Linked DNA regions of Caenorhabditis elegans. The protein of the gene in region 2 purifies or fractionates together with the protein of the main gene of each other region. This does not show direct contact. Each region holds a gene or a part of one and is shown on either strand. Other genes may lie near its edges. The genes, in order: ppw-2, pgl-3, ife-1 and chdp-1.

Region 1 (6,215 bases), on a different chromosome or scaffold from region 2:
TAGAAAAATGATGATAAATATACAAAATATGAGAAAAACTCAATTTTTAGTTGTTTTTACTTTTTATATCAGCGCTTTTATTTTTGAACCAAAATCAAAAATCTTTTTTTCTCCTCCTTTCCCCCAATTAGCTTTACAATTGATACCTAATTTCAAAATATGAAATCGATTTTAAACCCACAAAAACCGAAGGAAATCATTTTTCAGTGGTAAAATTTTCCAACGCTCACGAGAAACGCGCAAGCCCCCTTGTTGGGTCATTTCCACGTGAGGAGGCTGTGTACTTCAGAACTTTCTTCCGTTGGCAAAAGTAACCGAATTCGCTGCTGATGGTGACATCTTTATCCAAATAAAGGTCTTATTGAGCAAGGAGAAACAAAAAACCCAAGCTAAAGAAGTCGATTCGTCTGAGTGTCAGTCCGAGATGGTCGGATCATCGAAAGCGAAAAGTGAATGAAGTTTTCCAGTGAATAAATGATTCCAATTGTTAGATGCAGTTTGGATTTTAAAATTTTATTGTCTCCGGGAGACCATAACAAAAGCATTACATGCTCAACTTAACAAAACAACAATGGCTATAACCTATGAACGACTTGTAATCATTGCCGAAGATTGACAAGCTGCACGTAGGATGAGCCAGAACAATGGGGAACAGAGGGCGGGGGGAATAAAACAATTATTGAACAATTATGTACCACTTAGATAAGATATAGCATTAAAGACATAGTGGGATACAAATAAAAAAATTGATACAAAAGATGAGTTGGATTAAAAAATGGTACAACTTGATCTTCGGGTGAGTGCTTAAGCATTGACACGGCGGTCGATCATGTCGCCGGAGCCCATATAGCTGATGCCATCGGTCATTTTCTTCAAACGAGCTGATTCTGGTCCAGTAACCTCGGGAATTTCATTAGCATTGCTGAAAAGGCATAGTCATAAATGCTTGAATCGAAAAAATCTGAAAACTCACATGGCTTCATTCCACAAATTACGCCCTCTCTTCGCGTATTCATTTGCAACATACAGTGGCGTTGGAATCGACGTGGGAAGTCCGACAATTTGATGGAGGTGACACAGATTGAAGGTGAATTCTTCCAATGCCGACATACCAATATTACGATCATCAGCAAGAACAGTATAGAGCGGGGTCTTTGCCGATCCCTGAAGAGTCATGTGCGAGTTCAAGAAGAACTGCTTGCATGCTGGGTTGGTAACACCATAATCAACGGTAAGTCCTGGACCAATATTGAGCTCCCATGGTTTTGGCGGTGCCGAAGTCAATGTGCCAGAATTGCTTGCGCCAGCGCTGTTAGATCCACCGCTGGAAGATCCACCAGACTGAAATAATAATCAACATTAAACGTCAAGACTTCTTGCCCACTCACCTCTTTCTTGAAGAATCTATAGGTGTGCTCCTTCGAGACCACGATATAAAGCAATTGAGTGTCCGGCGAAAAGTTTCTCATGGCAACACGAGCAAGAGGAACTTCATAGGAGATGATTGGTCCGTGATTTCCTTCGCTGGAGCCACTTCGGTAGATTGTGATGCGCTTTGGCGCTTTGCCATCGTGGAACTTCTTATATCCTTTGATTGAATAGGAGACGATATCCTCAATTGGTGCAATGGTCTGAAAGCTCAACATGAATAAAATAGTATGACTGAAAAACGCACTTCTTGACCAGCAGCGTTCAATACGAAATCTCCACTAAACTCCTGCTTCCCATTTCCATTGTATGCGAAACCCACAATAGTCGGATTGAGAATTCCTCTGCTTTCCATGATGTACTTGGTCCCAGGTGGTGGGCTGGAGATACCAACGCCGATGATCAGATGCTCTTGAAGGAAGCTGAAATTTTGTACATGGATAAACAATTGAACGCGTAATAATATACTTCTTCGTATCGAGGTAAACGTAGTTGGACCCTCCTAGTTTCACGTTGGTCTTGTTAATAACGTTCTCCAATGTTAGTTTCTTTGATGCGTTGACGACGCTCAAAGCCTTGGACAACTTCATATCCTGAACAATCATCTGAGTATGATGCTCGATGAACTTGTATTTTTCTGTAACAAACAAAACTTATTGAGAAGAGCCAATTATGACATACGATGCAAGCAAGTGATATTGTCTTCAGTGATGCACAGAACAAAAGTGCATCCAGCATTCGCAGCCTCACGCAAACGATTTTCGATAGCATCAGGGGTGAGAAGATTGACGTCTCCAGGTGGCGGAAACAGAATTCCTTTCGAACGACTCATATTCATGAACTCGTCACAAAAACGTCTGAAAAATCAGAAAAAACCAATCAATTTTAAGTAGAGTAAGACTAACCTCATAACGTCGCGATTCATTTGTGATCCCGGCGACCCCACGCCGTACAACGCCCATACTTTCGGAGCCACAGCTGAACGGTTGTAGCGTTGTGGGCGCCATTTGCAATCTCTTGGATTGATGAGATGTTCACCCGTTTCAAATGAAGCCAACCTAATGGCCGGGAGGTTTCGCCCTTTCACCACAAGAGGCTCATCGCAAACAGTCACTCCCATTTTACCGAGCACCTCGTTTTCAGCTGTGATCTTCGCTGCAATCTTTCCCGTCATGATCAAACGTTGGCGAATGTCTGGCAACACTGCACTTTCTTTTGTGGTTCGTTGACTTTGAGAACTTGTTTGCTGAGTGATTCTAACACGTTGATTTGGACTGATAGTAATCAACTCCATGGGATAGAAGTTGAGAGCTCCTCTTTCCTTACAAACGATGAGATTGGCGTTCGGATAGCGAAGTTGAATCTTATATTTATCCTTGAAGTAGGTGGCAACGGTACAAGTACCACCACCTTCGAGCTCGAATCTGGCAGTTGCGGCTCCTTCGTGATGAATGCTTTCAATTTTGTGATGACGTGTGCGTCCTCTATAGTTTGAATGACAGTCAAGTCCTTTGATGACAGCTGCACATCGTTCTCTTTCGGATCCAGTGATTCCGTTAGCCAGATTGGATGTGATCGATGACAATTTTTGGAAAACGAGTTGCTCCATATGGAATGCCACCTTCATTCCTGAAGATTGAAATATACTTGTCTATTTTGAGCTAAAAACTAACCGTCAATGACAATCGATGGGTTATTCTGGTTACGTCCGTATGGACCCTCAATGAATTGGAGGGTTTTCTTGAGACCCGGTTTCATTTGTTTCCCATCTCCAACTTCCACAATGTCGCATGGAGCGTACCCTTCTTGCAATGGATTAATGAAAAACATCTTTCCGTGCTCGAACACTACACATTTGGAGGTTTCGCGAATTGCGTACTGACTCATAGCGAGATCGAGAATCTGCTTATAAGCCATATTGACAGACTCGATGTTAGAATCCGATGTACGTCTTCCAATATCTTCCAGGGAGAAATTCACGACTGGGTTCTTGGTAGGAAAAACTTCCAGTTTGATACACGGCAGCACCATTAGGTCTTTCAAGTTGGTGTCCGCACCGTTAATTTGAAACACTTTTGTCTGAAATTAGGAATGCATCGAAAGTACAAATAAAATCTCGATACCTTAATTTTTCCAGTTGGAATTCCTTCAAAAAGATTCATGCTGGTGAAGAGAATGCTCTGTCCATCGTAGATGATGCAGTTCTCAGACGACTTGAAAAAGTCCTCAAAGCGGTTCAATGCGTGGAACAGAATAGCACTGCACTTCTCATGGCGGTCATGAACAATGAAGCTGAAATTGAATGCATAGGAAATTTGAATTCGATCATCAATATCTTACTCTTCTTTTCCTTTTTTAGTGAAAGTTACTTCTTTCTTCGATGAAAGTTCAGCAGTGATGTGCACACTGTATTGATAAAAGTTGGAAGTTTTATGTACTTCGACTCCAAACACATTTGTCAGGACTTCAGTCACGCTACCGAAAGTTCCAGGTTCGGTTGGAGAAGGATAGATCTTCGGATCCGGCGGAATCTAAAATATCATATTTATTCTAAGCAATAACGAGAACCGATCTCACCTCAAGCTGTTCGAGTCGCTTAATACACGCATCGTGAGCAGTTTTGTGTTCCGAGGTGACAGGAAGAGTCGGAACCGGAACCGGTGGGACTGGTGGTGGTGGATGAAGTCCTGGCGGAGCGGTGACCGGTGGAAAACCAACTGGTGGCACTGGTGGCATTGTTACCGGTGGAACCGGTGTAGCAGGCATTGTGAATGTTGTTAGTGAATACTACCTGAAATCGGAGAACGATTGCATTATGAACAATATCTTAAAATTTACGAATAACGTGTTGGAAAAAAATTGAATAAGTTTATGCAACTTTTCGGGATACATGCATTCTCTAAATCTTATAACTTATAACTTGAAAAAAGAACTATTGAAACACGTTTTTGTTAGATACTTGAAAAATATGAAGATTTCAACAAGAAATACTGAAAAATCGTGCACGGAAATGAATATTTTGGGACAGTAGGTAACATTTTTTGAAGTAGTGCGAATAGCTACCGTATACCTTAGACAGCGTTGCGAGACCCACTCAGATGAAAACTCGATGCGCCTTTAATTTCAAATTGAACGACCTTTGAAAAAAAAACATGTTGAACAAATTTTTAAATAAGTTTTATTATGGGAGACATTTTGAAAGCAAAACAAAACAAAAACAAAATAACTTTACAACTATCCTAGGCTAAACGAAATAAAATTATTGTGGGCGAAGACGAATGAATCCTTGAATAATTCGAACTTGCTCTTGATTCACATTACATTTCTCGAAAATGCGATTGGCGAGAGGCTCAAGTTTTGCACGGTTGGCGGTCAACGACATAATTTGCAGGCAAGTCGCTGCAGCATATGTATCACGTTTTCTAAGAGCATCTTCGAACAATTCTGCCATTGCCCATGGCCTAGCATGTCCACGTGGATAAACAGTCGCTTCGTCCCCACTGCTTGCAGTTTCATCAAGCAGTAGATCTAACAGTTCGTAAGCTTTCTGCTGTTCTCCGATTCTGGTCAAGAGCAAAGCACATTCTGAGATCTGCAAAATTTGAGAAATATACGACTTATGGTTTGAAAAATAATATTAAAACCTGGCTAGGCGACAGTTTCCTTTGGAGCCTTCTCATTCTCTCTTCTGTGAATTGGCTGAACTCAACCCAAACTGCAACCAATTTTTGGACAAGAGATGTGAATTGCTCCCGTTCACTAGTTCCCAATGTCTGAAAAAAACTTGTAAAAAACACAAGATATTTGGAAATAAAACTTACATGTAGTTGTACATTACACAACTGTTTGCGCATTTCTTCTCCAATAACTCCATTCATCTGTCCAGCTGCAATACCGTCGATGATTACTCTCCGTAACAGTGGCCAATGACGATCGGAGGATGCAGCGAGTTTTCGAAAAACTAGTGATGACAGATAATTGTTGACTCCAACAAGTCGTGGTACCATGGTGGTGTACAAATCATAAATTCTGTTCAGTGAAGCACTTTGTTCCACAGCCAATTGTAATTGTCTATTATAGAACATTGATTCAATTGTGAATGCTGGCATCTTTACTTCGTTTGCTTTGGATTCATAAATTGAAACAAGATTTTCTGCGAGGTTCTCATTTGCAGCTCTGTAATGGATTCCCATTGCTTCGACGAAGAAAAGATTACAAGTGGATGTAATCGGCTTGAGAGTTTTTCCAGTAAGGCTATTCTGAATTTCATTGAGCCAAGATATAGCCACGGTGAGCTGGTGATTATAGGTCTTCTTTTGCTCGTCACTCTCTCGTTTTTCATTATCCAATAATTTAAAATCTATGATGTTTTTGATAATTAAATGAAAAGATGACAGTGCTGGTTCAACTCCAATCTCTTTCATTTCTCCAATAATTTCAGTGAACGCCTTCACACGATCTTCAAACTTTCCAGCTTTTGCAGCAGACGACAGTAATGCATTGAACGTGAAAATATCGGGTGTCATTCTGAGGGAAATCATTTCAGCTACCAATTTCTTCCCGACACTGTAGCTTGAAGCGCCAATTAATCCATTGAACGCTTCTCGGTAAACTTTTCCTTTTGCAGCTCGATGCTCCTTGTACAATTCTCTAGCTCTTTCCAAACTAGAATGATCAGAAAACTTGCATAGACCAGCAATCATTATAGAAACGGTTTCATCAGTTTTTGGGAGAGTTTCGAAAAGAAGATCAGCGACTGCACCCGATTTCCATGAGGATGTAGAATC
Region 2 (5,054 bases):
TCTCTCAGAACTTTAAATGCCTGTATTTATATCAATTCGAGAGTAATTTCTATCGATTGTTGGCTTAATTTGTTGCTAAACTATTCATCTTTAAGATTCTGAAAAGAAAATTCAATTTCATAAAGAACCGAGAAAGTTATGCGTGATTTAGTCAAGTGCCCTCAAGTTTCGCGCCATTTCGCATTCGGCGCCAAACAAGATGTGTCCCGACAGGGTGGTAGAGCGCGAGTATATAAGGATGGCGCGCGCTCATTTCTCACACTCACTCTCCAAGTGACCACTACTCATCCGTTCAACAATGTCTGACGTCGCCGTTGCCGCCGACACCACCGAAACTCCAGCAGCCCCAACGAAAGCTTCAAAAGCTACGAAGGCTTCAAAAGCTACGAAGGCTTCAAAAGCTACGAAGGCCAAGACTACCAAGGTGCCAATGGTCAAGGCCGATGCCGCCCATCCACCATTCATCAATATGGTCACCGAAGCCATCAGCAGCATCAAGGACCGCAAAGGACCTTCCAGAGCCGCAATTCTCAAGTATATCACTACAAAATACACGCTTGGAGATCAGGCTAACAAGGTATGTGTTTTATTTAAAGCAGAAAAGCTAAATTCAAATCAATTTTTCTGAAAAATTTTGACCAGGTTTTTGATTACAATAACTTCATTTTTAACCTAAAAATTCTTAAAATAATAAATTGCCGAACAGAAAAGCAGAAAAAAAACTATGTAGAGATGACGTTCCCTAAATTTACCTTTCTTTCAGATCAACGCTCACCTCCGCAAAGCTCTTAACAAGGGGCTTGAAAGTAACGCCTTCGTCCAGGCTAGCGGAAATGGAGCCAACGGACGGTTCCGTCTTGCCGAGAAGACAGCCTCCGTGGCCAAGTCGCCAGCTGCAGCAAAGAAGGACGCCACTGGAGAGAAGAAGGCTACGACGACCGTCGCCAAGAAGGCCGCCACTGGAGAGAAGAAGGCTACGACGACCGTCGCCAAGAAGGCCGCCACTGGAGAGAAGAAGGCTACGACGACCGTCGCCAAGAAGGCCGCCGCTGGAGACAAGGCCAAGAAGACTGAAGTCAAGGTGAAGAAGGTCAAGTCGCCGAAGAAGATCGCCAAGTCTCCAGTCAACAAGGTCACCAAGTCTCCAGTCAAGAAGATCGCCAAGTCTTCATCCATGAAAGCCGCTCCAAAGAAGGCCGCTGCCAAGCCAGCCAAGAAAGCTCCCGCCGCCGCCCCAGAGGCCTAATCACATTGTGTGAATAATCAAATTAATTTCGATCTCACCATTGTATTATATCTCTCCCTCTTGTAGGTGTCCCAGATACTGGTTTTTTTGCATCTAATCATTATTTATTGTTCCTTTGACAAACCAATTCCTATCAATGAACCAATTACTGCATAAAGTTTCAGCGTTTTCTCGTCTTTTCAAAACCTTTCAGATTTTCGGAACAGTGTTCACAGCGGGAAAAGATAGATAAAGTCCCGGAACATCTAGCAGACAGTCTTCTTCACCGTTTGGAAATTTTTGTTGTTTTCCTTCTGGAAAAATTGTATATCAAGTTCATTCGACTGATCAAGCTCGATTTCTTAAAATACACAACTTATCGGCTTAACTTGCAATTTTTGCAATATTCAGATCTTTTTTCAAATAAAGCAACAAATTCTGTTTAAATTTACTCGCAATATTTCGAATTCGGTAATGAAAAGTACTTTCAGAGAACTTTCTAGATTTTTTTTTGAAAAACTGATTTAATTTTTAAAGGCGCACGCCTTTTCCCACGCGATGGGTCCCGACTGGAAAAGCCTCCACGAACTTTTCGATGATTTAGAAGTCAATTTTTTTAAAAAGTTTTTTGTGTGTTTTTGCTCGAAGTTTCTTATTTTCAATCATCATTTGGTGAATTTAAACATTTTACACGTAAAATTTCAGTGTTATTCGTGATTAAAAAGTTCACATGGAAGCAAACAAACGACAAATTGTGGAGGTCGATGGGATTAAGTCCTACTTTTTCCCCCATCTCGCCCATTACCTCGCGAGCAATGACGAGCTGTTGGTCAACAACATAGCACAGGTTTGACTGTAACTATTGGGATTTTTGTTAAATATTCTTCTTACAGGCGAACAAGCTTGCAGCTTTCGTCTTGGGAGCCACCGACAAACGCCCAAGCAATGAAGAAATTGCGGAGATGATCCTGCCAAATGACTCCAGTGCCTACGTGCTTGCTGCTGGCATGGACGTTTGCCTTATTCTCGGGGATGACTTCGTTGGTTTAATTCCGAAATGTTCTTGTATTAATAATTCATTTCAGCGACCAAAGTTCGATTCTGGCGCTGAGAAGCTGAGTCAGCTTGGACAAGCTCATGATTTGGCTCCAATCATCGATGATGAAAAGAAAATCTCGATGCTCGCCCGAAAAACAAAGCTAAAGAAGTCGAATGACGCCAAGATTCTGCAAGTCTTGCTCAAAGTTCTCGGTGCGGAAGAAGCGGAAGAGAAGTTTGTCGAGCTCTCGGAACTGTCGAGCGCCTTGGATCTTGATTTCGACGTCTATGTCTTGGCAAAACTGCTTGGATTTGCATCGGAGGAGCTCCAGGAAGAAATTGAAATCATCCGTGACAACGTCACAGATGCGTTTGAGGCCTGCAAGCCGTTGTTGAAGAAGCTGATGTAGGTTATCATGATTTAATGTTGTGTGTCTCAGGAGTGTTTTTCAGGATCGAGGGACCGAAGATTGATTCTGTGGACCCATTCACCCAACTTCTGTTAACTCCACAAGAAGAATCTATCGAAAAAGCTGTATCCCACATCGTTGCTCGCTTCGAAGAAGCCAGCGCCGTCGAGGATGATGAATCACTCGTCCTGAAATCTCAGCTAGGATATCAATTGATTTTCCTCGTCGTTCGCTCACTTGCTGATGGAAAGCGTGATGCTTCCAGGACAATCCAATCGTTGATGCCGTCGAGTGTCCGAGCGGAAGTGTTTCCCGGATTGCAACGGAGTGTTTTCAAAAGTGCCGTGTTCCTCGCAAGCCATATCATTCAAGTCTTTTTGGGATGTTAGTTACAAAGATTGCAAACTTCTTTGAACAGTTTCTTTTTCAGCCATGAAGTCATTCGAGGATTGGGCGTTTGTTGGCCTCGCTGAAGACTTGGAGAGCACGTGGAGAAGAAGAGCAATCGCTGAATTGCTGAAAAAGTTCAGAATCTCTGTTCTCGAGCAGTGCTTTTCTCAACCAATCCCACTGGTAAAATTATTCCTTCACGTGAACTTATAATCAATATTTTCCTTTTTCAGCTCCCTCAAAGCGAGTTGAACAACGAAACTGTCATCGAGAATGTGAATAATGCTCTCCAATTTGCATTGTGGATCACAGAGTTCTACGGATCGGAGAGTGAGAAGAAATCACTCAATCAGCTTCAATTCCTAAGCCCAAAATCCAAGAATCTTCTTGTTGATAGCTTCAAAAGTAAGCAAAAAGGCTTCTTATTTTAATCGAATAAATTTTACAGAGTTCGCCCAAGGACTGGATTCTAAAGATCACGTGAATCGTATCATTGAATCTCTGGAGAAGAGCAGTTCGTCGGAACCTTCTGCAACTGCAAAACAGACCACAACTTCCAATGGACCGACCACCGTCTCTACTGCAGCTCAAGTAGTAACTGTTGAAAAGATGCCATTCAGTCGTCAAACGATTCCATGTGAAGGAACAGACTTGGCGAATGTGCTCAATTCTGCAAAGATCATCGGAGAAAGTGTTACCGTGGCTGCCCATGATGTCATTCCGGAGAAACTAAATGCGGAGAAGAATGACAATACTCCATCAACTGCCTCACCTGTTCAATTTTCTAGCGATGGTTGGGATTCTCCGACAAAATCTGTTGCTCTGCCACCGGTAACAATTTTTTAAATTTATTTTGTATTTAATATAATAACCGATTTTCAGAAGATCTCGACTTTGGAGGAAGAACAAGAAGAAGATACAACGATCACCAAGGTTTCTCCGCAACCACAAGAACGAACTGGAACCGCATGGGGATCAGGCGATGCGACTCCAGTGCCTCTTGCTACTCCGGTTAACGAATACAAAGTTAGTGGGTTCGGCGCTGCGCCAGTCGCTTCGGGATTCGGACAGTTTGCCAGCAGCAACGGAACGTCTGGAAGAGGCTCTTATGGAGGTGGTCGCGGTGGCGATCGTGGAGGAAGAGGAGCATACGGTGGCGATCGTGGACGTGGAGGTTCCGGAGATGGATCTCGTGGATATCGTGGTGGTGATCGAGGAGGACGCGGAAGTTACGGCGAAGGATCTCGTGGTTACCAGGGAGGACGTGCCGGATTCTTTGGTGGATCCCGTGGAGGTTCCTAAGCCTTCAAATTTCAACGTTTTATTGGTTGTATATTTTGAATATGTACTGATTACGTATTCACAAGTTTTAGGTTCTCTTTTTTCTAAATGATGTAAAATTTCCCAAATCATGTTTTATTTATTGAACCCCGTTTTATTGTGATCCAAGTAAATGTTTGTACTTCTATAGGAATCAGATGAATTTCGCTTTCAGACTTAAAAGTAATGCGTGGGATAATTAGTGATGTCATCATTGTAAATAGTCGTGGTGTCTCTAATCTGGACAATTCGTGTGTGATATCAAGGAATTGCTGATCGAATTAAAGGTACGGTAGCTACCGTTCTAGGATGGTGCAGCCTACCGAATGTACATATTTAGTTTGATGAGGAAACAATTTGCAATGATTAAAACGCCTTTCCGAAATAAATATGGTGCTCGGTCTCGAAACGATAAACTTTCATTGATTGTGAAAAGGTGCGCGCCTTTAAGGATTACTGTAGTCTCAAACTTTCGTTGCTTTAAGACTTACACTTTCCGATGGAAAAATCAAAGACGTCATTACATTTCTAGTTTTTTTTCCAATTAATCTGTTGAAAGTTATTACGGGAACACAAAATTACGAGAAAGCGTATTTTCGCAACACATTTGACGCGCAAAATATCTCGTAGCGAAAACTACAGTATTTCCTTAAATGACTACTGTAGCGCTT
Region 3 (3,735 bases), on a different chromosome or scaffold from region 2:
ATTAGCGTGCTTCAGCGCTGCTTGAGAAGCGACGACTCCCAAATCAGTTGCACTCAATCCTTTCAGCTTTCCACCAAAAGTTCCGAATGCTGTACGCTTGGCACCGACGATGAACACACCTGCAGACATAATATAAACATCACTGATCACTTATTAGTACAACGACCATGGACTTTGACCCCCACTCACATTTTCCTGCCATTTTGCAGTGTATTTGTGTGGTTCTGTAAATAAAAACGTTCTTATAAGTAGTAACAAATTATTAGGAAGAGGTGAAAAAACCTAAAAAAAAGGGCATTTAGAAAACTGCATAATTATTTTGAGAGGGGCTTTTGAACAAAAATAAAGTTTTTCGGTTGTTTGTTGGGCCGATAAGATAGGTAGAGAAGAGACGCAGAGACGAAAAAGAAGCAGAATGGCCGACTTTCGCGGTGTCTTTTTTATCATCATTCCCGCTACTTGTTCTCTGACCTAAAGGCTACATTCTACACTACAATAAGATACAAAATTGGGCCTGGAAACCACAAGGCAATATAATACAATTAATTTTCATCAATTTTATTAAACCAATCACAAAACAACGAGTGAAATACTAGCCAAGCAACGGGTGTAATTAAAAAACAAGTAGAGCAGATACAAAATGGTCTGCTTTAGACGGCGGATTTCTCGGCGACTGGAGCATCGGACGAGTGCAATGAAAGCTTGGCTTTCACAACCGAGCTGGTCTTCTTCTGGCAGCTCTCATGATCTTCGTAGCGGATCACATCGAACAGTGGCTTTGAGTGGTCCTTGGATGCGGCCATCAGCTTCTCCTTCAGCACAACTCTGAAATTCCAAAATTCAAGATAGAATTAAAAATAGACATGCATACCCAATCCTCATGTTGGTTTCATCATCGTTGCAATCCTTAGTCCAGACGCTGATCTTCGATCCTTTTCCTCTGACGTTGCACACCAACCCACAAATCGACTCCATGTCCTTTCCGAATTGCTCGCCGACCAAAGCCATGAGAATCTCCAGCCAAATAGCATCGACCATTTCGGGAGTCTTTCCCTTGTCAATGACGATGAGCCAGCGTCCTCCGTTCGAGTTTTCCGGAACCTCCCACATCGGCTGAATATCGTCACGGAAAACGTTGTAATCGCACAACGCGTTGAGGCCACTTGGTGGACGGATAGCATCGTAGAGAGCCCAGAACTCCGAGACGGTGTTGAAGGTGTACACCTTCTTCAGACGATCCTCCCAAGACTTGTTGCGCTCATCGTTCAAATACCACCACGTCCAGTTACGCTTCAGCGGATAAATGGGTGCCGTCGTTTGCTCCGTTTCAGTCATACCTGGAAGAACTCGATTAGTAAAATCAGTAAACAGAGAGAATAAATGAATGCAAATAAAAATGGGCACGTGGAACCAAAAAAGTGATGCAAAACGGCGAGAAACAGTTTTTTTGTGAATAATTTATAGTACTCAAACGATAATGAAAAAGGGAATGGCTCACCTTCTTTCTCCCCAGAGATTTTCAGCTTCTCAAATGCTATTTCAGAATCTGACATTTGCGCTTAAAATTTTCGCACCTCGACAACTGGCAAGGCAAAAACAGGACTGATCTGAGAAGCCGAGAACAACTGGGGAAAACGCCAACTAATCGTGCCCTAAATGACGTGCCATTGAAATATGGAGCGGGTCAGTAAAAAAATTCACGGGGAAAATAGGAAATGGTGGAATATAGTACAACAATTTTAAAAAGAGATTTAGAAATTATCGATGATGAATCAAGGTAAATACACAAATGAAGAAATAAAATGAGAACCCGTAGAAAAAAAAAGCGAAGAAAAACAATCTAGTTGTCGTAGTCATCGTCGGTTGGAGCCAAAGAGCCCTCTGATGGTCCTCCAAACATTTGTGCGTTTGCGGCTGCTACCGCCGCGGCTTGTGCTTGTTGGTGAGCAAGCTGCTGCTCAATTTCTTGTTGGCGTGCCTGTAAAATAAATATTAACATTGAGGAAATGAGTGTTTGTTTTATAAAAACAAAATTATTTTTGAAAACCTCAAAAAATTACCTTCTGAATTAATTCTTGTTGCATTTCGTACAATTTTTCCTCTGGAATACCACATTTTTCAAGACGAGAGTTCTTCCTTCGCAGCTTCTTCTCGGCTTCAACCTTGCAGGCATCGAGAACACTGTCGGCGGCCTCGAGATAATCTGGTGTGAATCCTAAATTCTGCAGTGCCTTCTGAACATGTTCGTGATATATTGTTTTTCTCTGATCCTGGCTCGCAATTCGTTGTGCTTCTCTCGCAATATGCTTCACGAACTCAACGCAGCAAGCATTGATCATATCTCTCGACTCGTTGGCGATTCGCATTTCAGGAACAACTTCTTTGATAATTTGGTTGATACCTTTCTGTGGAAGTCCGATTTCATTGTCCTCATCCATATCTGTGAAGAGTCTGAAAATTGTGTTGAAGCACTGCATTTTTAAGGGATCTAAAAGAGATATAAGGAATGAGAAATACATTATTAAAAGTTTAAAGATGAAATAAAATTAATATCAAACTGAGTACATTTATGCGAATATAAATATAATATTTTCGGAACAAATCTCACAAAATTCACAGAATTATCCAATTTTAGCATTGCTGAAGTCCATTTCAGGATGCTGTTTCATGAACTGTTGCAGCATATCATGCTTTTTCTTCTCATCAGACGTTGGAAGACCCATCTCCTTCTGCCTCTGATCATACATCATCTTTTCGACCATGGCACGTGTCTCTCCATCCAAGTCGCTCAATTTCGAGTTCTCTGGCTTCACTTCCTTAGTATTGATTGGAGGATCGGAATCAAGGAATCGATTCCACCATTCCATATCATTGATCTTCTCGAGAGTTAGGACAATCGCTTTCCCGTTTTCGATTACCCAGTTGCAATTTTCTACTTTAATGGCGTGAGGCAACTTTCCATCGACAATCGGAGCTTGATTCTTCAGGCCGACAGATACTGAAGTCTTCTCTATTTTGACGACAACGTCACGAGATTTGATAGCAAATCCAGCAGCAATTGGAATCTTCACCTCGAGTTCTTGGAGTGTTTGAGTCCATTGATATTTGGCAAGATCCGCACCATTTCCACTATTTGGTTTCATGAGCTTACTGTCCTCATCTTCGACTTCAGCGTCTTTCGATGTTTCTCCTTCGTTATCGACGAATTTTTCAAGATTTTCAACAGAATTTTTAGCCTGTTCCTTTTCAAACGCGGCCGCTTCCTCATCAGTGACTTCCACGACTTTCGCATTTCGGAACTCTTCCTCTTCCTTAGCTTTTTGTGCAGCTCTTCGTTCAGCAAGCTTCCTCTCCTGCTCTTCCTTCCGTTTCTTGGCTTCTTCAGCTTCCTTCATAGCCTTTCCACCGTGTTTATCGAATTTTTCGAGGAGAAGGGTCCGGGCTTGATCGACACCAGCGCCACTGTAGAAATCCGTCTTTCTGAAACAAAACATGTATTTATTAAGCACTTTGAAAAAATTTCTTACCTCGAAAGAAATTCAAATAGTACATCAAGCATTTCAGGCACTCCGCCGCTCAGCTGTTGGGCCATGGAGAGCAGCACCGAGTCGAATCGCTCATATTGAGACATTTTCTGAAATTTAAATATATTAATTAATAAAAACTACTTCCAAAACGAAGAAAAACATTAGGAAATCCGGAATTATTGAAAATAGAGCCTAAAATCAAGAAACA
Region 4 (6,788 bases), on a different chromosome or scaffold from region 2:
CGCAATAAATGTGTCATTTTCCAATCAGTCACAAAAATCGACAAAATAAATCAGAATCCTTTTCATGTTTTCAGTATCTGCAGAAAGTATCTATTGCTAGGCCCTTTCGGGAAGTGTAAAATGATAATGATTATCAGAGCATTATCAGTTTTCCTAACCGCCATGAACATTGAGCATTGCACCGCTTTTATCAGTTATTACCGTACTAATTGTTTCCGCTTTAGATAATTCCGTTCTATCATCCGATAAAATAGCGCTAAATAATTCTTCAACCTTTTTATTGGTATGAACTCGATGCAATGCTTTCAACTCTCAAATACCCAGTAATTTTGGTTGTCATGGTTACATTCGATTGTGAACCTTCAAAAATTATCTGTTTTCAATTTCATCACTCAAGCAGCACACGCAAACATCCATCCAGCGCGGACACCCGCCCCACAAGTCAGTAGACTCCGCCCAAATTTTCCGTCCGCTATGAGAGACGGGAGAGGGACACATTTGCCGCTGCTGCTGCCGCAATGGAAAGGGACGTTTCGGTGGCTGCTGCCACTGTGTGCATCATTGCGGTTGGGTGGTGTGGTGATGGTGCTGGTAATGGTTGACGATTGGACCACTGGCCTTGTCCTCTTTTTCACTGCAAAATGTGTGCAATACCCCTGCTCTCATATTCATTCATTTCGTCGCCCACATCCATTCCATTCGTCTTTTCTGGACATTTCTTGTTCTCTTTTTGACTCCGCCTTTTTCTCGATTTCGTAATCTATGTTTCCTATGTTTCTCATTTCGAAATCATGAATGACTCATGCTCTGAAGTTCGGACTTCTGTTCATTTCACTTCTATTTGCTTCATTTTTAAATTTAGTGTAGGTGAGAACAGCAACGACTGAATCAGAATCGAGAGCAAATAGGGGGCGGGCGGCGGTTCGATATATCAAATGACACGGAGGTAGACCATTCAAAAAGGTAAATGGTGTTAGTGGACCCTCGCCTCTCATCTCATACCGTCTCTTTCTCTCGTCTGAATAGTCTTTTTGACACACTTATTGTCGTTATGAAATGAATGTGAATAGAGGAAAAAAGGAGATTGAATGACCCTTTTTCGCCACCTCACCTGCTGAGTAAGAACCGGTTATTCCAGAATAGTGAAAGGCTCTTTTGGTTTCTTTTCTTAAGCCTTCTAGTACTCTACCTTCCTACATTTATTGCCTTTTTTCGTCCAGACGAATGTTTTCCAGGAAAAGTGAGCGCTTCTTATCTCGTTAGCATTATTCTTCGATTCAATTCAAGTCGCATATGACTAGTTCTTCTTTTTAAATCATAACCTAAACGCGCATTTTCTCTTCATGACCTTTTCCCGCAATTTGAGCATCGATTGACTGTTCTAGCCCCCGCAGCGTTCAGCGTTCCGCGTACCATCTAGTCTCTTCACACAATCAGTCTTACATTATTGTCCCTACTATAACATCGTCTTCTCTTTCTTTTTACATTGTCTCACTTGAGTTCTTCGTCTTTTTTTGTTCTTCTCATCTATATCCACTAAAACCCCATTCTTGGAGACGGTTCTAGAATAGAAAATGAGTCCTCGACAGAGACGGGTGCAATTAGTGTCCAAGCGAGAGAGAAGCTTTTGCTCATTCCGGTTTTGTCTTTTGCCTACCAAAATGTGCTACCCCGGCTTACTAGCGGCTCGCTACTGGAGACTCTATTCGATTACCCCCGTAATTGAGTTGACTTTCATGGTAGTCTTCTGTTTTTCCCCATTCCATTTTCTCATTTTTCTTATTCTCCTCTCCAACTCGTCTATTTCTCTCGTATTTTTTCTCCATTTTTAGCTCTTTGTTTCTCCGAATACCTCGAAAATTAATGAGTTTCTTTCAGTCTCAGTTCTCTCGTCACTAACCAACACATCAACTATGTCTGAGGAAATCAAGAAGATCGAGGAGGTCGCCGAGCAAGACAAGGCTCCAAAGGTTCCAACCACCGAACCACCAGTCGATGTTCCAGCACCAGTTACTGAAGAAGCACCAAAAGTAGAAGAAGCTGTCGCTGAGATTGCTGCCCCAGCTGCTGCAGAAGGAGAAACTGCCACCGCTGCTGCTGCAGCTCCAGAAGAGAAAAAGAAGTCTGGAGGTGTTGCTCGGCGTTTCACTTTCAACAAGAGATGGGGAAAGCACCGTGATGCGGAAGCATCCACTCCAAAAGAGCCAGAAGCACCAAAGGATCCAAAGGAAGACGTTCTCGGATGGATTGCTCAACAGATTCCACAGGCTGTTCACAAGGTAAGAATACTTTCAAAATAACTAAAACGATTCAGGGCAGATGGTATTCTCGCTAGAGCAACCGAAACGCAGGTTTAGTATTCACCCTAGCATAACAGCTGTTTCCGATTAGCCCCCATTCTCACCAGTTACCTTTGAATTCAAATTACCGCAGTTCGATTTTTTAAGAATCATAGGTGAATTCATTGGAATGCCTAAAAATTTCTAGGAATTGGCCAAAACGATGCATAAGTACTTTTAACTAACAAGAACCTATCTGAAATTTGATCCTGAGCTCACAAAAAAGTTTGGAACAAGTGCATTTTCCCCTACTCCTTCACAAGTTCATTAAGTCTATTCATCAACATTTGCAATGTATCGCTCATTGGTATTTGCAAGGTTTTTTGTTTGATCGCGCCGGCGAGATTGGCGATGTGCGTCGGCACTCTGTAAAAGGGCAGCTGTGCCAATCTTTCCTCGTTCCGACGCTCGTATTGCTGCAGACCCCGTAGAATGGTGTTGTAATGTAACTAACTGTGTGTGCGCGCGCACCGGATTCGCTATTGCGTAACTCTTTAGGATAATGAGAGGCAGATATTGTAGATATCCTAGAAATTGACAGACGTTCGTAAAAGTTATAAAATCGATGTTGTCTGGTGACCAGGATATTTACACGAATTAGAAATAAAAAGATGTGTGATTCGACTTTAAATTTTGAATACTCACAAAAATAATCCCCATGGAAACGGAAACAAAAATACATGACGAAAAGTATTTATATTTCATCATAATTTCGAAACATCTGTTTTATACAATGAGATTCACAAAGATTAGCATGTATGAAATCTCTTTTAAAGTCTGAATTTCGCAGGAATTTTGAGAGAAGAAAGTTTAGAAGCTATACAAAAAATTGGGTCAATTTCCCTAGACATTAATCCTGAACAATTGCTGGTTCAGTTCGACAGCCATTTTTTGTTGGTACACAAGATGAATTCGTCCTTTTTGCATCTTCTTTCCCAAAAAAAAAGGAACTCATTGGTTGAACCGCGCTGCTGCTCTGCTCCTCCTTTCTTTGTTTCTTAATTCTGATGCAAACGCACTTCTGTTTTAGTGGTTGCCGTCTTTCTTGTCCAGCACGAATGAGAATGATCTCTTATATGGAGGCTTGCAACATTGAGAGTGCTCTCATGGGATTATAGCAGAAAGAACTGGTATTGGATATTTGCGTCTTTTTTGCACTGAGAAAACAAATTACATTGGAACGTTCTTTTTTCGGATTCTTATTTTGGTCATTAAAGTTTTATTTTTCAGGCCAACTACCAGGTTATCGACTGGGTTCAGAAGACAGCTATCCCAGAGGAAGGAGAGCGAAAGACCATTCCGGGAAAAGATCAGGCCACGACTCGCAACCAATTCATTGGATTCTTCAAAGATGGAGATGTCCTCGCCAAGCTGGCCAACGCTCTTGAGGTATGTTAATTTCACTTTTCTGATAAGAATATATGGGGTAATGATGATGATGATAAAATGTGATAAGTGATATGCAAATAGGTCGGAAGGTGCATTATCAATTAGCGGTATTTCCGTTCCGACATTGATCGGAATTCGGAAATATTTTGAGATCTATTATATGAGTTAATTAAGTGAGGGATCTTAATCATGAAAACAAATTAAAATTTACAGCCAGGAGCAGTTGAAGTCGCTGCCGCTGAGGAAAACGCCGATGCTGCAGCCCAGAAAGAAGTTCAGAAGAAGAACATTGATGCCTTCGGAGCTTGGGCTCAAAAGACTCTTGGAACCGAGGCTGCTCCAGTAACCAACGAAGATCTTCTTGAAAAGGGAAAAGCTGGATACACAGCTGTTTTCCAAACTCTCTGGCAACTCGGAGTTCAGGCCAAGGAAAAGTTTGACAAGGAAGGATTCAATGTTGACACCATTGTTCAGCTTGCAAACTCTGTCGTCAAGAGCGGATTGTTGACCACAATCCTAGGATTCTTCAGAGTGAGTTATATTCTAGATTAATTTTCAATTAACTTTTGTTTTTATTTTTGATAGCTAATTTATCTTGTTTCAGAGAAATCGGCAAGCTGCTGCTGCTGTAGAAGAGCCAAAGGATGAGACTGCAGCTGCGGAGGGAGCCGGAGAAGCAAAAGAAGAGGGAGCTACCGGAGAAGTTGCAGATACCGCTGATGAGCCAGTTGCAGTGAAACAAGAGACTAGTGCACCGGCTGCCGTCGCTGCAAATTAGAAATCTGGAAGAAGTATTTATCTTTCTGTAATTTCTAGTCCGCATCTCTCTTTTCCACTATCGTGTTCCGGTATCTCAACTGTTTCCTCCGCCTCTTCATTCCAAATATTCAATGTCTCTTCCTCGAAACGATGATGATAGCTCAAAGAAGAAATGTGCTCTCAAAAGTAAGTGTAGTACAAAAACGATGACCGTCTGGCGGGATGTGTGTTTGAGTAACGGATTTATATGCATAAAGAGTCCTTATTTGGTCTCGGTTTTGGACCGTTTAGTGTAGCGCGGAAGTGGAAAAGTGTACTATTGGACTTCTCGTTCTACAAAGCGTGTGCTCACATTCCATCGGTCGGCGTGCTCTTAATGAGAAGACAAGTGTTGGTTTTGTTTTTGGAACTGGGCCAAGTCTCTCCCATTTCTATTTTCTCTATTGAGGGAAAATAGTACAAATGAGAGAGGCAATAATTAGGAAGCGATGGACAATTATGGGTCACTGAGCACCACAAAAGGACCGCCTTTCTATAATTAGAAAGGTGCAAACATTCTCTATGTAGACATACCTTGATTTTAATTTTATAACGCTTGAGTTAGTTCTAGAAACTCTTTAGAAAATTTCTAACTGAAAGGCGTAAATTTCTTGAGATTCTCTCGGAAGACAAAACAATAGGATCAAAGTTTGGACATTGATTTTTTTTACCGAATCCTTGGAATGATGTATTTGTCCTCCGCCAAACTTTTTTTTAAATTTCTCGTCTTCCGTTTCCTTCTCGCTTGAGGATCCCAAATAGGCGTGGAATTGGAGACTGTAGATCAGATTATACCTCTCATTCACATTTTCGGAGGCGAGTCCTGTACAAAAAAAGCGAGAAGACCTTGACTCGGTGACCCTTTCAAATTGTCTACCGTCTCTTCTATGGTCCGTACTGCATCGTGACTTGTTTCCTGTCGTCATCATACAGGTCAACCTTACCAACCGATCCTAAGTAATTTGAGTCGGAAGAAGTGGTTGAGAGGGGTTCGTAGGGTGTCTGGTGTGGTAGATTGAACTGTTTATATTCTAAAAGGGCAGCTGAGAAGGACCTTGAGAATATAATTGTTTATACTAAAAAGTCACGAGCAGCCACAGAAAATATCCTTTTTTGAAGTAATTGGTCATCAATTTCTGCTCGCTGACAAAAAAGGTCCAAAATGGTCAATTGACAGATGATGATATTTAACGAGAAACGGAAAGGGGTTCTGCGCTTATTTTTAATGTGCCGTTGAATGCAATTATTCAATTATCTGTGAAATGAGGATATCAAGAAAAAACTAATAAATTTAATTATTTCAGCACTATCTTCAATCAAAGCAATCATCTTCATTTCGATGTCGGCCGGGCAGCAGCAATCAATTTTTAAAAAATCTTTTCTCTAAAAGAAAATCTAATTTTGTTCATCGTTTTACCATTCTTCATTTCAACCAATTTTCTCACCTAATAAGACTTTAATAATCGATAATTGATCTATAAAAGTCTATTTTTCACCAATCTCTCGATTCATCAAACTTTTTTTGTATTTTGATAACTATTGTCTCAGCTTTCTCTTTTTGTGCTTTTCATCCTCCAAAAGTGTGAAGCTCATTAAATGAGCCTTTCCACTTGATTGATTCGAGATTTTTCCTGTTTTTCCAAAGTTCAATCTCTATTCTCTCGCTTTTTTCAACTTCAGTTTTTTCTCATTTTTCGAAATAAATAATGGAACCAACCAATTCTTCTTCGTTGTGCATGTTGTTTTTGAGTTAACATTGGTTCTAAATTTATTTTAAATTAAAAAAGTTCTAAATACAGTTAAAATATTCAGATGTTTTCAACAACACCAATTAAAGAAGAATCATGGAGACATGAAGGGTAAGAAATTATAAAAAGTTCTAAATACAGTAAAATAATTTTTTTCGCAAGGAATTGTAATCTTACTGTCAGTTGTTTTATAGAAATTTTGAAGCATCTCAAATATTTCAAGCCTCCTTTCGCTAATTTTTTGTGAATCAGATTAAATATTTTTTGTTTTAAGAACTTAACGTTTAAATTCAAGACATAAAAAACTCGAGAAATCTTAGATAAAATACGCAAAAATCGAAAGAATTTTGAAATTATTGCTTTACATGTCGCGACCTTCAATTGTTTCTAATCGTAGACCCAAAATTTTGCGATTTTTGAGCCAAGAACACGGTATTCGGTCTCGGCACGACAATTTCTCGTTAAATGAAAAATAGTGTGCGTCTTAAGAGTGTACTGTAATTTCAACCTTCCG

What was found.
Region 1: the proteins of pgl-3 (region 2) and ppw-2 purify together in Caenorhabditis elegans (affinity purification with mass spectrometry, with the first as the bait; one large-scale study listed by BioGRID). This does not show direct contact.
Region 3: the proteins of pgl-3 (region 2) and ife-1 purify together in Caenorhabditis elegans (affinity purification with mass spectrometry, with the first as the bait; one large-scale study listed by BioGRID). This does not show direct contact.
Region 4: the proteins of pgl-3 (region 2) and chdp-1 purify together in Caenorhabditis elegans (affinity purification with mass spectrometry, with the first as the bait; one large-scale study listed by BioGRID). This does not show direct contact.

Annotation. Positions count from the first base shown.
Region 1 is NC_003279.8:5,158,011-5,164,225, forward strand, and holds ppw-2 (Piwi domain-containing protein), read right to left. Parts: upstream 4,223-6,215; 5' UTR 4,195-4,222; coding exon 4,006-4,194; intron 3,960-4,005; coding exon 3,769-3,959; intron 3,721-3,768; coding exon 3,552-3,720; intron 3,508-3,551; coding exon 3,102-3,507; intron 3,058-3,101; coding exon 2,334-3,057; intron 2,286-2,333; coding exon 2,110-2,285; intron 2,066-2,109; coding exon 1,897-2,065; intron 1,851-1,896; coding exon 1,676-1,850; intron 1,632-1,675; coding exon 1,389-1,631; intron 1,342-1,388; coding exon 974-1,341; intron 923-973; coding exon 805-922; 3' UTR 501-804; downstream 1-500. Other genes in the region: trf-2 (MATH domain-containing protein), read left to right, coding at 290-457; let-630 (Small ribosomal subunit protein mS39), read right to left, coding at 4,688-5,020, 5,073-5,201, 5,250-6,215.
Region 2 is NC_003283.11:4,754,055-4,759,108, forward strand, and holds pgl-3 (Guanyl-specific ribonuclease pgl-3), read left to right. Parts: upstream 1-1,930; 5' UTR 1,931-1,955; coding exon 1,956-2,072; intron 2,073-2,118; coding exon 2,119-2,265; coding exon of another isoform or gene 2,266-2,269; intron 2,270-2,310; coding exon 2,311-2,669; intron 2,670-2,716; coding exon 2,717-3,057; intron 3,058-3,103; coding exon 3,104-3,246; intron 3,247-3,296; coding exon 3,297-3,468; intron 3,469-3,511; coding exon 3,512-3,894; intron 3,895-3,945; coding exon 3,946-4,365; 3' UTR 4,366-4,530; downstream 4,531-5,054. Other genes in the region: hil-4 (Histone H1.4), read left to right, coding at 299-577, 764-1,246. UniProt on the Caenorhabditis elegans protein: Guanyl-specific endoribonuclease which cleaves the phosphodiester bond in single-stranded RNA between the 3'-guanylic residue and the 5'-OH residue of adjacent nucleotide, resulting in the formation of a corresponding 2',3'-cyclic phosphate intermediate.
Region 3 is NC_003281.10:13,341,426-13,345,160, reverse strand, and holds ife-1 (eIF-4F 25 kDa subunit), read right to left. Parts: upstream 1,745-3,735; 5' UTR 1,554-1,744; coding exon 1,499-1,553; exon of another isoform or gene 1,449-1,498; intron 1,338-1,448; coding exon 872-1,337; intron 826-871; coding exon 651-825; 3' UTR 543-650; downstream 1-542. Other genes in the region: acaa-2 (3-ketoacyl-CoA thiolase, mitochondrial), read right to left, coding at 1-119, 190-202; dro-1 (Protein Dr1), read right to left, coding at 1,841-1,978, 2,061-2,477; nud-1 (Nuclear migration protein nudC), read right to left, coding at 2,622-3,480, 3,528-3,631. UniProt on the Caenorhabditis elegans protein: Recognizes and binds the 7-methylguanosine-containing mRNA cap during an early step in the initiation of protein synthesis and facilitates ribosome binding by inducing the unwinding of the mRNAs secondary structures.
Region 4 is NC_003279.8:6,283,095-6,289,882, forward strand, and holds chdp-1 (Calponin homology domain-containing protein), read left to right. Parts: upstream 1-1,878; 5' UTR 1,879-1,913; coding exon 1,914-2,279; intron 2,280-2,593; exon of another isoform or gene 2,594-2,805; intron 2,806-3,253; exon of another isoform or gene 3,254-3,478; intron 3,479-3,569; coding exon 3,570-3,728; intron 3,729-3,941; coding exon 3,942-4,259; intron 4,260-4,332; coding exon 4,333-4,506; 3' UTR 4,507-4,673; intron 4,674-5,830; 3' UTR 5,831-6,244; downstream 6,245-6,788. Other genes in the region: C10G11.6 (Verprolin-like), read left to right, coding at 6,339-6,385.